Oryctolagus cuniculus: one gene and its partners. The protein of the gene in region 2 interacts with the protein of the main gene of each other region in a biochemical or structural test. Links are inferred from orthologs where the notes say so. Each region holds a gene or a part of one and is shown on either strand. Other genes may lie near its edges. The genes, in order: PKP1, DSG1 and JUP.

The links.
Region 1: the proteins of DSG1 (region 2) and PKP1 form a complex in vitro, tested with the Homo sapiens proteins (2 studies listed by BioGRID and IntAct). The link is inferred for Oryctolagus cuniculus from reciprocal best matches to the Homo sapiens genes DSG1 and PKP1.
Region 3: the proteins of DSG1 (region 2) and JUP form a complex in vitro, tested with the Homo sapiens proteins (2 studies listed by BioGRID and IntAct). The link is inferred for Oryctolagus cuniculus from reciprocal best matches to the Homo sapiens genes DSG1 and JUP.

Annotation. Positions count from the first base shown.
Region 1 is NC_091444.1:17,300,345-17,304,744, reverse strand, and holds the start of PKP1 (plakophilin-1), read right to left. Parts: upstream 2,864-4,400; 5' UTR 2,647-2,863; coding exon 2,445-2,646; intron 1-2,444. UniProt on the Homo sapiens protein: A component of desmosome cell-cell junctions which are required for positive regulation of cellular adhesion.
Region 2 is NC_091441.1:46,347,044-46,350,687, forward strand, and holds part of DSG1 (desmoglein-1), read right to left. Parts: intron 3,138-3,644; coding exon 2,982-3,137; intron 1,406-2,981; coding exon 1,261-1,405; intron 1-1,260. UniProt on the Homo sapiens protein: Component of intercellular desmosome junctions. Involved in the interaction of plaque proteins and intermediate filaments mediating cell-cell adhesion.
Region 3 is NC_091448.1:20,934,505-20,938,148, reverse strand, and holds part of JUP (junction plakoglobin), read right to left. Parts: intron 1,743-3,644; 5' UTR 1,735-1,742; coding exon 1,527-1,734; intron 1-1,526. UniProt on the Homo sapiens protein: Common junctional plaque protein. The membrane-associated plaques are architectural elements in an important strategic position to influence the arrangement and function of both the cytoskeleton and the cells within the tissue.

The DNA of each region.
Region 1 (4,400 bases), on a different chromosome or scaffold from region 2:
GTCACCTTTCGGGCTGGGTGAGCAGTGCACCGCCCCCCACCCCCAGGGCTCCTGGAGGGCTTTCCCCACCCTCAGGGAGACCACGTGTCCCCGCAAAGACTTCTGCCTGTGGTCACGTCCCCCTCGGCTTCCTCTGGCTTCCCACACAGTCACCTGGCTGCACACTGGGGCACCCTGAAAACACAGGGCAGTTCAAGGTGGTGGGCAGGTCCACAGCAGGCCCCTGAGGGTCCCCGCCCCCTCCCCGGGACTTGGGGAGCAGCCTGGGAGGGACAGGGGGCAGATGGGCCTTTGGGGGCCAGGCTGTTTCCACTTGGGTCCTTCCAGCCTGCAGGACTCAGATCCCTGCTGCAGCCAGGGTCAAAGGAAAGGCACTAGGATGCCGGGAACATGGGGACGGGCACCTGTGCGTGGGGCCAGGCTTCTTAATTAAGGGGGGCCCTGGGTAGGATTCAGGGGGCCCAAGAGGGTCAAGGACTCCAGAGAAGCCAGCTCCTTGCTTTTGGAGGAGACCAAAGGAGCATCCGCTTTTGTCCGGGGGACCCAGGAAATGGCCCGGGGCGTGACCCTTCCCCGGCTGCCAACGCCTCCCTCGCAGGAACCCAGCAGGCTGACGGCCGCAGAAAGCAAGAGCGAGAGGGGCAGAGTGAGTGGAGATGGCCACGGAGCAGGCAGGGGAGGCTTGGGCGTTTCTGATGGGGAGGACAGAGAAATCTGATGAAAACAAAGCCGGATAAACCAGAAACACCAGCGCCAAGCGACCGAACCGCCTCTTCCAGCTCGGGTGCAGCTGTGGAAACTGACACCCCTTGGGAACCTCCCCAGAGGCTGCAGGTAGGGGACACACAGCGACATCCACAGTCCTTGGACAGCTTCTGGAAGGGCAGGCATCAGAGTCAACCCAGGGACGCAGGGATCCAGGCCCCATCAGATGGACGTCACCCTCAAAGACCAAGGACAGAACAGCAACAGCCTGGCCTGGCTCGGACGTCCGGCCAGCATCCCCACGGAGGGCACAAGACAAAACATCCGGGGCACGTGGAGCAGATTTGGGACTTTCCTGGCGCTGTGAGCCAGGAGCTCAGGCTGCCGTGGAGTGGGAAGAGTGGCAATGGGTGGGCAGGTCTCACATAGGGGGCAGCAGGTGAGACTGAGCTATGCCCCCTACTGTAGCCAGACCTGCTTCCCAGAGAGGCTCGTCAGCAATTGTCAAGACAGGAAATCAAAGGAGAGGAGCCCAGAGCCCCGGCAGGGGCAGGGGCAAAGGGCACCGAGCAGCCAGGCCTTTAGGTCTGGGGGTGGGAGATCTGCCTCTCGCTTCTCTCAGCTGGGCCCAGAGGCAGCTCAGGAACGGAGGCAGAGGCCGAGAGAGGAGCTGGCAGGTGTGTGGCTGTGCCTACATGCGTGTGTGTGTGTGTGTGTGTGTGTGTGAGGCAGGGAGAACGGGCAGGGGTCTGTCTCCTTTGCTTCCTCCTCTGACTGTCCACTGCCCCTCCCTGTCTGCTAGTCACGGCTGACCTGTTCTGGTTCACAAAGGGTAGGGTCTTTGTTAACATTTTAAAATTGGTAAAATTAAGAAGTGGAAGAAACAAGTGTCCGCACTGGGGCCTGCTGCCTTGCGTGCAGTTCTTGCGCAGAAGTGTTGGCCGAAACGCTCCGCGCAAACGCCCCTGTTGGGACTGCCCCTCAGTTCCAGGGGTCCTGTGCCTTTCTCCAAGCCTCCCCCACCGGGAGACCATGTCACCCACAGAGGCGGGCACTCTGATTGTTATAGTGCCATGGTCGGCTCAGCCCAGGTCTCCGTGGACCTGGAGGGACCCCCTCCCAGCCGCCCTCGCTTCCCACTCTCCCCCATGAGCCCGTGGCTCTCCTGGAGCCGAGTGCCGCAGGGAGAATCTGTGGGAAGGGGGGTTCTGCCTTAGCTGTTGGGGAGCCCCTTGTCTTGGATCACTGCGGGGCAGCCTTGCCTCTTCCCGGCGGGAGGTCCCACGAGTCATCCCTGCTCCTGGTGCCACCTCCGATCCCCTCTTGCTCTCTCCTGAGTCCACACTCAGGCCTCCGTGACCCCCTCACCCCGCCCAGCTCAGCCCGAGCTTCCGGCGCTGGCGGCCCAGGACAGGTTCAGGGGCGCATCCAGAGCCTGGGAACTACGGAGGTGCCGGTAGTACACAGCCCTCCGGGAGCCGAGCGCCCTCTCCCCAGCCGTGCGGATCCAGGGTTCCAGCCCCAGACTCAGCCTCCCGGCGGCGGGCGGGAGACACGCTCCCGGCGCGGTCCCGGCGAGCCACCTAGCCGCGCCCACTCGCGCGCAGTAAAGCTCCTGCCGCGCCCCGCCGCGCCCCCGGTCGCCACGGCTGGGGACGCCCTGCTCGCGCGCGGGGCCGACAGCCCTGGGACTCCGCGACCCCTCGGTTGCCGCGGGCCGCACGGGCGCCGGGCCTTACCTCGGTTGGAGTGGCTCAGGGTGGACGACTGGGAAGACTTGGACTTCTGCCGCTTGACCGTCATCATCACCTGCTCCTGCACGCGCTGCCGGCCCGACGTGCCGGTCTTCATCTTCTGGTCGGACGGCAGGGCCAGCGTGGAGTTGTCCTGGTCCTGGAAGCACTCGTATGCCAGGGCGGTCTTGAGCGGCGAGTGGTTCATGGTGGCGGGAGGCGCGGGCCGGGCCGGGCGGGCAGAGAGGCGCAGGAGGGCGTGCGGCGCAGCGGGCGGCGGGAGCGTGCTCTTCTGGCTCTCAGCGGCTCCCTATGGCCATAGAGTGCGCGGTCTGCTTGAGGCTCCCGGCAGCTGCTCCTGGCGCCTCTACCCCCGGCTCGTCCCTCTGTGGCACTGGCGAGGCCCGCCCTCCGCCAGACAGGATATACCACCTCCAGCCTGCACCTCCCACTCGCCGGCTGCGCGCCGCCGCGCGCCCCGGACGCCCGCCGCAGGGCGCTGCCGCTGCCGGCCCAGCGCTCTTGGGGGCAGGGCTGCCAGTCCTCTGTGCCGGCCGCGGCGCGCTGCCGGCCGTTCCGCCTTTCCCTTCTCGCCCCACGACGGTGGAAAGCCCCAGGAGACGCCCCTAGTTCTGCCTCTGCAGGCCCTTGGAGCAAGCGCACCAAGGAGCCGGGGAGACCTGTTTTTCGGATGTCTTTCTTGACCAGGCACAGCGGAGGAGTCAGGTGCAGCTCCCTCCGCGCGGAGCTCATGCCAGGGGCCAGCCCACGGACGGCTCCTGCACGGAGAAGGGGCAGCCTGGGCTACTCTAGTGGGATAGGGGGGAAGGCCTTATGAAAGACCAGACGTGGGACACGGAACTACCAAGTGGCACTGGCCACTCTCCCGCATGCCCGTGAGCCCAGGCAAAACATTTCATGAACAGTGGGGCTTCTGTAAACGCAGAACCTGGTCCCTAAACCAATGCCCCAGGTACACAGAGAATTCACAGAAAATGCATACAATGAAAACAATCTATGCATGGGTTTCAAAATCATTTTGCTTTCAAACTTATCTCTAGGAGGTGTTTAAAGTCCCTTATATATCAGGGACCTGGGCATGAGCTGTTTGTGAATGGAGGGGTGGATGAAGGTTGGTTAATCTAGGATCAGTTAAGGCGAACCTGAATCCTACCCAGATCCTGGCTGGACAGCCTGAAGCTGCCTGGCCCCCTCCAAACTACATCCCTCTCCCACAGGAGGCTTTCTGTTCCAGGACTTTGGTGTGCTCTTCCTTGGCCTGCACTCCTGCCCCGGGGGTCACACAGGCAGGGACCCCTCTCATGGAGCACCCACCGTGGGTGTGGAGGGAGCCCACAGCAGGGACTTGGGTGCAACAGGGGCTGGGCATCTCCTAAGAGGCATCACACCTGCCCTGCTTCCTGACACAAGAGGGGCTGGCCACATGGGACTCACTTCTCTCTTTCAAAAAAAAAGATTTATTTATTTGAAAGGCAGAGAGAGAGAGAGAGGAGGTCTTCCATCTGCTGGTTCACTCCTCAAATGCCTTCAACAGCCAGGGCTGGGTCAGGCCAAAGCCAGGAGCCAGGAACTCCATCCTAGTCTCCCACACAGGTGACAGGGGCCCAAGCACTTGGGCCATCGTCCGCTGCCTCTCACGTGCAGTAGCAGGAAGCTGGATTGGGAGCTCACAGTAACCAGGACTTGGATGAGGCATCTGATACGGGATGTGGGGTCCTGCTGCCCCACAATGCCTGCCCCCGATGCACTTCTGCTCCTGGACCCCTTGGCTGTTCTGTGTAGAGTGAGGCCCCATCGCTGACCCACTTCGCCGGTTCCCACCTGCTGTGTGGTGCTGTCACAGCGGTCACCCTTGCTGCTGATGTCATAGCTGGGGTGCAGACTTCACTTAGGGACAACCAGAAATGAGAAGTGAATCCCAGGAAAGATCTGGAAGACGGG
Region 2 (3,644 bases):
TTCAGGCAAAGGCTCTGAAGCTATGGCTTTTTTGGAATCCTCTGCTAGCACCACTTAGGACAACTGGCTTTAAATATGCCTAGTGGACCAAATAGAATTAGATGCATAATGACTTAAAACACATAAAATCAATGATGAGTAAAAAACCAACAAAATCTATATGACCTGCCTTCTCCATTTTCAGGTTTTGCATCACTAAATTTAACCTAACTATGGACTGAAACTACTGCACATGTACATACATTTATGGCCATTATTCTCTAAGCAATACAGTATAACAACTATTTATAGAAGATTCACGTGGTATTACATATTATAAGTCATATAGAGATGATGTAAAGTATATGGTGAGATTTGTATAATTTGGATGCAAATACTATGCCATTTTATATAAGGAATTTGAACACCTAGATTGTAGTATTTGCTGGAGGTGCTGGGACAAACGCCCAATGGATGCCAATACTTATTAGGTCATATATAAGAAGGGGAAAATACTGTTTTGCAAAAGCTCTTGATGACAAAATAGATTGTATTGAAGTGATTTCTATGATTGAGTGACTTTAAAGTAGTTAAGTTGAAAAAAATCAGTATGAGCAGAAGTGGGTAAGAATGGGCAGCAATCTCATTGGGAAGCTAAATTCTCATCCAAGTGCCCCTGCTGCCCCTGTGTAAACTACAATGGGAATTTCCTGTTGGGAATCTCCTACAGTGGTAGGATACGAATTACATGAGAAAAACCTCCTCATTGTTCAGAGTTGCTCCTTGTGTGTAACAGATTGGATCTGCCCCTGTAGCTGAGGAGAAAGCTTTCTGGGTCTGGCACTGTGGTGTAGTAGGTCAAGCTGCTGCCTTCGATGCCAGCATCTCATGTGGGCCCTGGTTTGTATTTGGCTGCTCAACTTCCATTCCAGTGCCCTGCTAATGGCCTGGGAAAAGCAACGAGAGATGGTCCAAGTGTTTGGGCTTCTGCCACCAATATGGTACACCCAGATGAAGCTCTTGGCTCCTGGCTCCATACTGACCCAGTGCTGGCTATTGTGGCCATCCGAGGAGTAAACTAGAGGATGGAAGATCTCTCTCTCTCTTTCTCTTTAACTCTGAATTTCAAAATAAATAATTTTTTTAAGGAAGGAAAGACTTTCTATTCTGCATGCTGTTCTGTAACTTATCTTCACATCTACAAGTACACCTTTATATAGTTTGACTTCTAATTTCCTGAGTATCTGGAAGAGTGCTTGATAGGGTACTTATATTACTTACTTGCATTAGAATTTTCTTCTATTTGTCCTAGAAATGTAGTCATTGAAAATACTGGAGGGTTGTCATTTATATCCAAAACCCTGACTCGGAGTTCCAGAGGCCGCTCCAGATCCTGGCCTTGCGAGTTTAGAGCCCGGCAGTAGATCTAGGAGAGAAAAGAGGAATAATTAGATGTTGAAACACATATTGAGTTCTAGCTTGCTAGGCACTGTGGGAAGTTAAAAGAAAGATGTTATTATTTGCTACTAGAAATTAGGCATAAGTAGCATTTATAATCAATAAGAGATGGCAAATACAAACACAAAATATATTTTAAGAAAAGGTAACGTTATAAGTTACAATAATATATACAAAATAATAACACAAAATACTATGAGCTGTCAGAGGGTGTAAAGATTGAAGTAGGTCTCAAGGAATTTCAGTAAGTGGGACTGGGAATTGGTGAGGTGTTCCAAGCAAAGAGAGTCATATAAGGAAAGAAAGAATGATACAAACACAACTTTTGAAATTAGGAATAGGAACTGTTGGGAGGGTTTTAAAATTAGGTAAAGGAGGATCTCTTGGGAGCATACAAGAGATGTATCATTCTTGAGCTAGGTAGCTGTTATATGGGTTTTGTGTTCAAATTATTTATATTTCAAGTATACATTAAGTGCATACACTATTTTACATATGTAGTATATAAAAATACATTGGTCTCAAGGAGAACTATTAAACTGACCTGCTAATTTAGATAGTTTGCGGGCAAATACTGTGAAAGACAAAATAGGAATATAGATACGGAATTGAAGATTAAAGAATGAAAGTAGATCCAGGAACACAGATCAGCAGCAGAAATGAAAGCAGCAAGAGTAGATTCTTATTTGAAAGTGTTTTAAGCCAAAGATGGAGGAGTTTTACTAGAAGCAATTATAAGATCAAATAAGACCATCATTATTTTTATTTTTACTTCAAATATTAAGAAGCAAGGGTCATGAAAGTAGAAATAGTGCAAGCAGAAAAGAGAGAAACAGACTAATTTGATGGAACAAGATTCTTGAAGAAATAGGTAATTCTGGGACAATGGCTCAGGGTAAGCCGTGAGAAAAAGCTGAAAATTGGTTCTGCATTTGGATTTACTGAAAAGCATTCTGAGCTGAGGAGAATTAATTGTGGGAATTTGTGATGGATAGTCTCAGCCTTCTTAAGGTAGTTGGGCCCAAGATCAGCTGCTTAAAGTGGAATGAGTTTGTGTGTTTGGAGGGAGAGAATACTTAAGCCTTGTGACAGCCCCTGTAAAGAATGGAGTGAGATTCAGTTAAGAATAAATTAATTTCCAGAGTACATTCAGAGCTCAACTGAACTTAAGCAACATGAATTTATAGTAAAGTTTGTCCACTCAGAAAAGATTCCTTAGTAGCTCCGGATTTGTTATTTGATACTAAAGTTAAAAAAAAAAAACAACAACAATTTCAATGGGAATTAAAGAAAATGCAATGTTTTTCCCAACAAACACTCTAGTTGGTCATGGGGACCACTGGAGGTTTGCAGTTTTGCTGAAACAGCAAAACACTCCTTTCTCTATTTATCTTCTCTTTGTTTCTGTTGGGTTATGGATGCTCATGAATTAAGAGTCAAAAATGTCTACTATTGACTCCTGAAATCAAATCAAGAATGCGCTCAGTTTCAGATTTCTCAAGAGTAACTTACGTCTGAATATAGATGGAAATAAATTCACTTACAATGAAAAAAGGGGTGACTTCTCGATCAACTATGGATGTTATATTAATTTCCCCGGTTTTTTGATTAATGATGAAGATTCCATAAGGTGGCTGATCAATTCCTACTCCAGAGATGCGGTATGTTACTTGCTGGTTTGCAGCACAGTCTGAGTGAATCTGCAGAAAGAACACAATTGCAAACATCACAGAGAGCAAATAAAGAGTTCTGCATTTGGGGTGTGACGGCTGTTTTTGTGAGAATTGGTGAAAGTGCTGTACCTATTGTCACCTGGGAAATGTTGAAAATAAGAAACTACTTTCCTAGATAAGTATAATAATTATAGTATTTCCAATGGTGATTGTATAACTAGTATTTTCAATGGTAGCTATCAAACAAGAAAAATAATACCACCCTCGGAAATTTAAGTCTATGCAGTCATCACTCTTTTATTCAACATTTATAATTTCATCTTGTATTATTTGCACACTTTGTGCTAGTCTTGGATCCAGAATAGGGAATACCTTGTCCTCTAAAGGACTTTACTAATGTTGTCATAATTTAACTCTGATCTTTAGATTCAAGAATTTCTTTTTTTAATTTCTTTTTTATTTAGTAAATACAAATTTTCAAAGTACAGTTAATAGATTACAATGGCTTTTTCCCCCCATAACTTCCCTCCCACT
Region 3 (3,644 bases), on a different chromosome or scaffold from region 2:
GCAGAGCCATCTAGCGGGGACTTAAGGTGCAGGGGAGGGTGTGCAGAGCTTACGTACAAATACTGTGCGAGGCTCTGCATGGGACTTGCGCACTGGCCGACTTTGGTATCCACGAGGGTCCTGGGCCAGCCGCCCTTTGATATGAGGCACGTCTGTACCGTTCGTCTTCCCACTTCACAGATGGGAAAACAGCACAGAGAGGCAGCAAGGCCTGACAGGGAGCACAAGGCCCTACCTCCCTCTGCCCCCTTAACCACCAGCGCTGTGGTGCAGCGGGTTAACACCCTGGCCTGAAGCACTGGCATACCATTTGGGCATCAGTTCTAGTCCCAGCTGCTCCTCTTCTGATCCAGCTCTCTGCTATGGCCTGGGAAAGCAGTAGAAGATGGCCCAAGTCCTTGGGCCCCTGCACCCGTATGGGAGACCCGAAAGAAGCTCCTGGCTCCTGGCTTTGGATCGGCTCAGCTCCAGCCGCTGCAGCCATTTGGCGAGTGAAACAGCAGATGGAAGACCTCTCTCTGTCTCTACTTTCTCTGTAACTCTTTCAAATAAATAAAATAAATCTTAAAAAAACAAACAAACAAACAAAACACCAGGCAGGGGAAGGGATGAGACAGTCCAGGTTGCTTTTCGACCCTGAAACTTCGACCTTGTACTTCTAATTACACCCTCATCACTCCTGATGGCAGCGAGGCTCCCACCAGGCAGCCGGGGGCCCCCGAGAGCCACCGGCGGCACTCAGCAGCGGGCAGAGGGAGCCAGGGTGCTGGGAGGGCCCAGGAGTCCCACAGAAGTGCCCAGTGCACCCGGGGAGGGAGGCCGGGGCTCTGCACTGATTCGCTGGGAAGGAGGCGCCGTCTCCCCAGCTTTCCCGCTGGGCTGCTCTGCTGTCCGCTGCCAACACAGGGCCTGGGGCTGCTGAGCCCAGCGGCCTCTGCCTGTGGTCAGGATGCAGCCAGCCACGGACCCCACGGTCCTGAATGGTGGGTGACAGTCCCTGTGCCCAGCGACTCCTCTCCCCCAGGGGAGCCTGACCATGCCCCTGGCCATGGGGCAGGTGGGCTCTGCCCGTCGGTCTCCTTCCCTCAACAGGAGTCCCAGCCCTAGGGACCAACTGCGCTGCCTCCACCAGACTAAGGGCTCCCCAGAGCTGCAGCCCTGCCTCTCCCATCAAACCCAGGGCTCCTGGAGCAACAGGAAGTATCTCCCCTCCTCCATCCACGGGCTCCCAGAGGGCAGTGGGCGTGCCTCCCATCATGCCCTGAGGTTCAAAGAGGGTGAGGACTGAGCCTCCTCCTTCAGACTGGTGACCTTCCGAGGGCAGGGCTCAGAAAAGAGTGTGTGTGTTTCTCCCAGATGGGGCGCCCTTAGTGTGCCTCCTCCCTCTGACTAGGTGGGCCCCTATGAGCAGGAGCTGTACCTCCACGCCCAGACTACACAGGTGCCCAGAGAGGAGCCCCCTCCAACCTCCCTCTGTTGACTCGGCCCGCCCACCAGGGCCCGTGCCAGCCCCCAGAGCTCCCGACCTTGGCTCTGGGGCCCAGCCTGGGTGTAGGTGGTTGACTTCTTGACGGTGTACTGGCGCCCGCAGGCCTCCTCCTCCTCCATGATGCCCTTGCTGCTGACGGAGGGCACGCAGGTGTTGGCGCCCGAGTGGATGCCCGAGTCGTAGGTGTAGGTCTGCTGCCACTCGGTCACCTTGATCGGCTGCTCCATCAGGTTCATCACCTCCATGGTGGCTGCTGGGGCACAGATGAGGGCAGCCCGTGAGCTGGCCACCCAGCCCGTCTCCCCTCACCCCCACCATAGCCCCAGGGCTCTGGTGGGTCACAGGATGAGGCAGTGGGGAGAAGGGGGCAGAGAGCAACAGGGCACAGAGGGGCTTGCTGTGAGGAGACGCCTGGGGGACCTGTCGCGTGTGTGCCCCTGGCTTGCATCTCTGACCTCCAGCCCCGGGTGGGTGAACCAGGGAGTGGGCAGTACGGGGCCAGGCACTGGCCAAGCCTGGACTCCCTCACTTCGCTGCCCCAACCCACCCTCCTGGGAGCAGAAGGCACTCGGGCCTCCCCGGCTCCTCGTTTGGGCTCCCTGGGAAAGGCTGCGGAGGAGGCAAGGAGCGCACCCAGCACCCAGCACCCAGCACCCAGGCGCTGGAAGGAACACTGGGTGGGGCAGGAAGCAGTCAGACAGGTTTCTCCCGGGCGCCCCAGGCTCTCTCAGAGATTCCTGGATGTCACTTTCCTGCAGGTGGGGCAGGATCACGAGTGGTCCCAGCACCCCAGCCCCTGGGAGCTTCTCCCAGCACTGAGTGCCACAGACTGAGCCACCGACCCGACCCGACCACCGGGCAATTCTCAGCGCAGCCTCAGTGTCCCCCTCTGTGAAATGGGTCACACCGCCTCCTGGCACACAGGAGGGTGCTCAGGCCGTCACTCTCACCACCAGGAGCCCGGCCCTCCCTCAAAGACTCGGGGTCCCTTGAGGTTAATGAAGGCCAGGCCCTGCTGGGTGGCATGGAGGCAAACCTCCCACCGTCTTGGGAAGTGACCTGCCGAGGTCAGTGGCTGGGGGAAGGCACGAGAAGCTGGGACCCTGTGAGGATCTGCTCAGAGTCGGGCCCCCTGTGAATGTCACCATCCTCACAAGCCATTCTCAAAACACCATTCACAGATGTGGAAACTGAGGCTTGAAATGGCAGGGCCAGGCCCAGCCACAGGCTGAGTGGCCTTTGCACATTCCAGGGTGGTCTGCAGAGCAGGCAGACCCCAGGCTGGCCCACCCAGCAATGCTTGTCCACTGTGACAGGGAGACCACAGGGGGACAGGGCGAGGACAGGGGTGGGACGGGGAGGCTAGCGCAACCCGGCCGCACCCAGGAACAAAGAGCACAGGGGACAGGTCCTCCCAGTGACCGTCCCAGCGCCGCCCTCAAGGAGGACGACAAATGGCCCTCCAGGTCTGGCTGCCTTTTATGGCCACACGCACCCCTCCCCTGCTGGGAACACACCTGCAACAGGCAGAGGCAGGAGCCCCACCAGCCCCCAGCTGCCTCCTCCCCCCCCCCGCCCCCCTGAGTGACTCAGAGTTTCGGGCTGAAAACAGAAGCAGGCCCAGTGCACCATACGGCAGGCTTGGGCTGCCAGCTGCGTGCAGCTGCTGAGCCACTCCCCGAGCTCGGCTGTTCCACGAGGAGCCCTGACCGCCCCCCAACCACCGCCGCCGCCGCCAACAGCCCATCCTGGGCAGCAGACAAGGTCAAAGGCAGGAAATTGGGGGCTCCTCCTGCCTTCCCATCCTGCCCAGGGCCGGGTGGATCCCAGGAGAGCGCGGAGGGCCTGGGAGGGGGGAGCTGTCACAGAAGCCACCCCAGGGCAGGCGGAAGGCAGCAAACTGGACAGCCTGGCTCTGCAGAAGGGAGGGGAAACCGGAGCAGTAAACACAGCGGGTTAACCCTCGCTGCGCTGCCGTCTGCTCCGCTTGGGCCTCTCCGGCCCCAGTGACAAGCACCCCGTCCTCACCAGACAGCACCTAACTCCGGGGCTTCTCAGCCGGGCCACGGAGAAGAGGGCTCACCCCACACCACGGGGACCAGCCCCAGCCCGGAAGGGACTCCCATGGCCAAGGCTGCCCACCATGAAGCCCCTC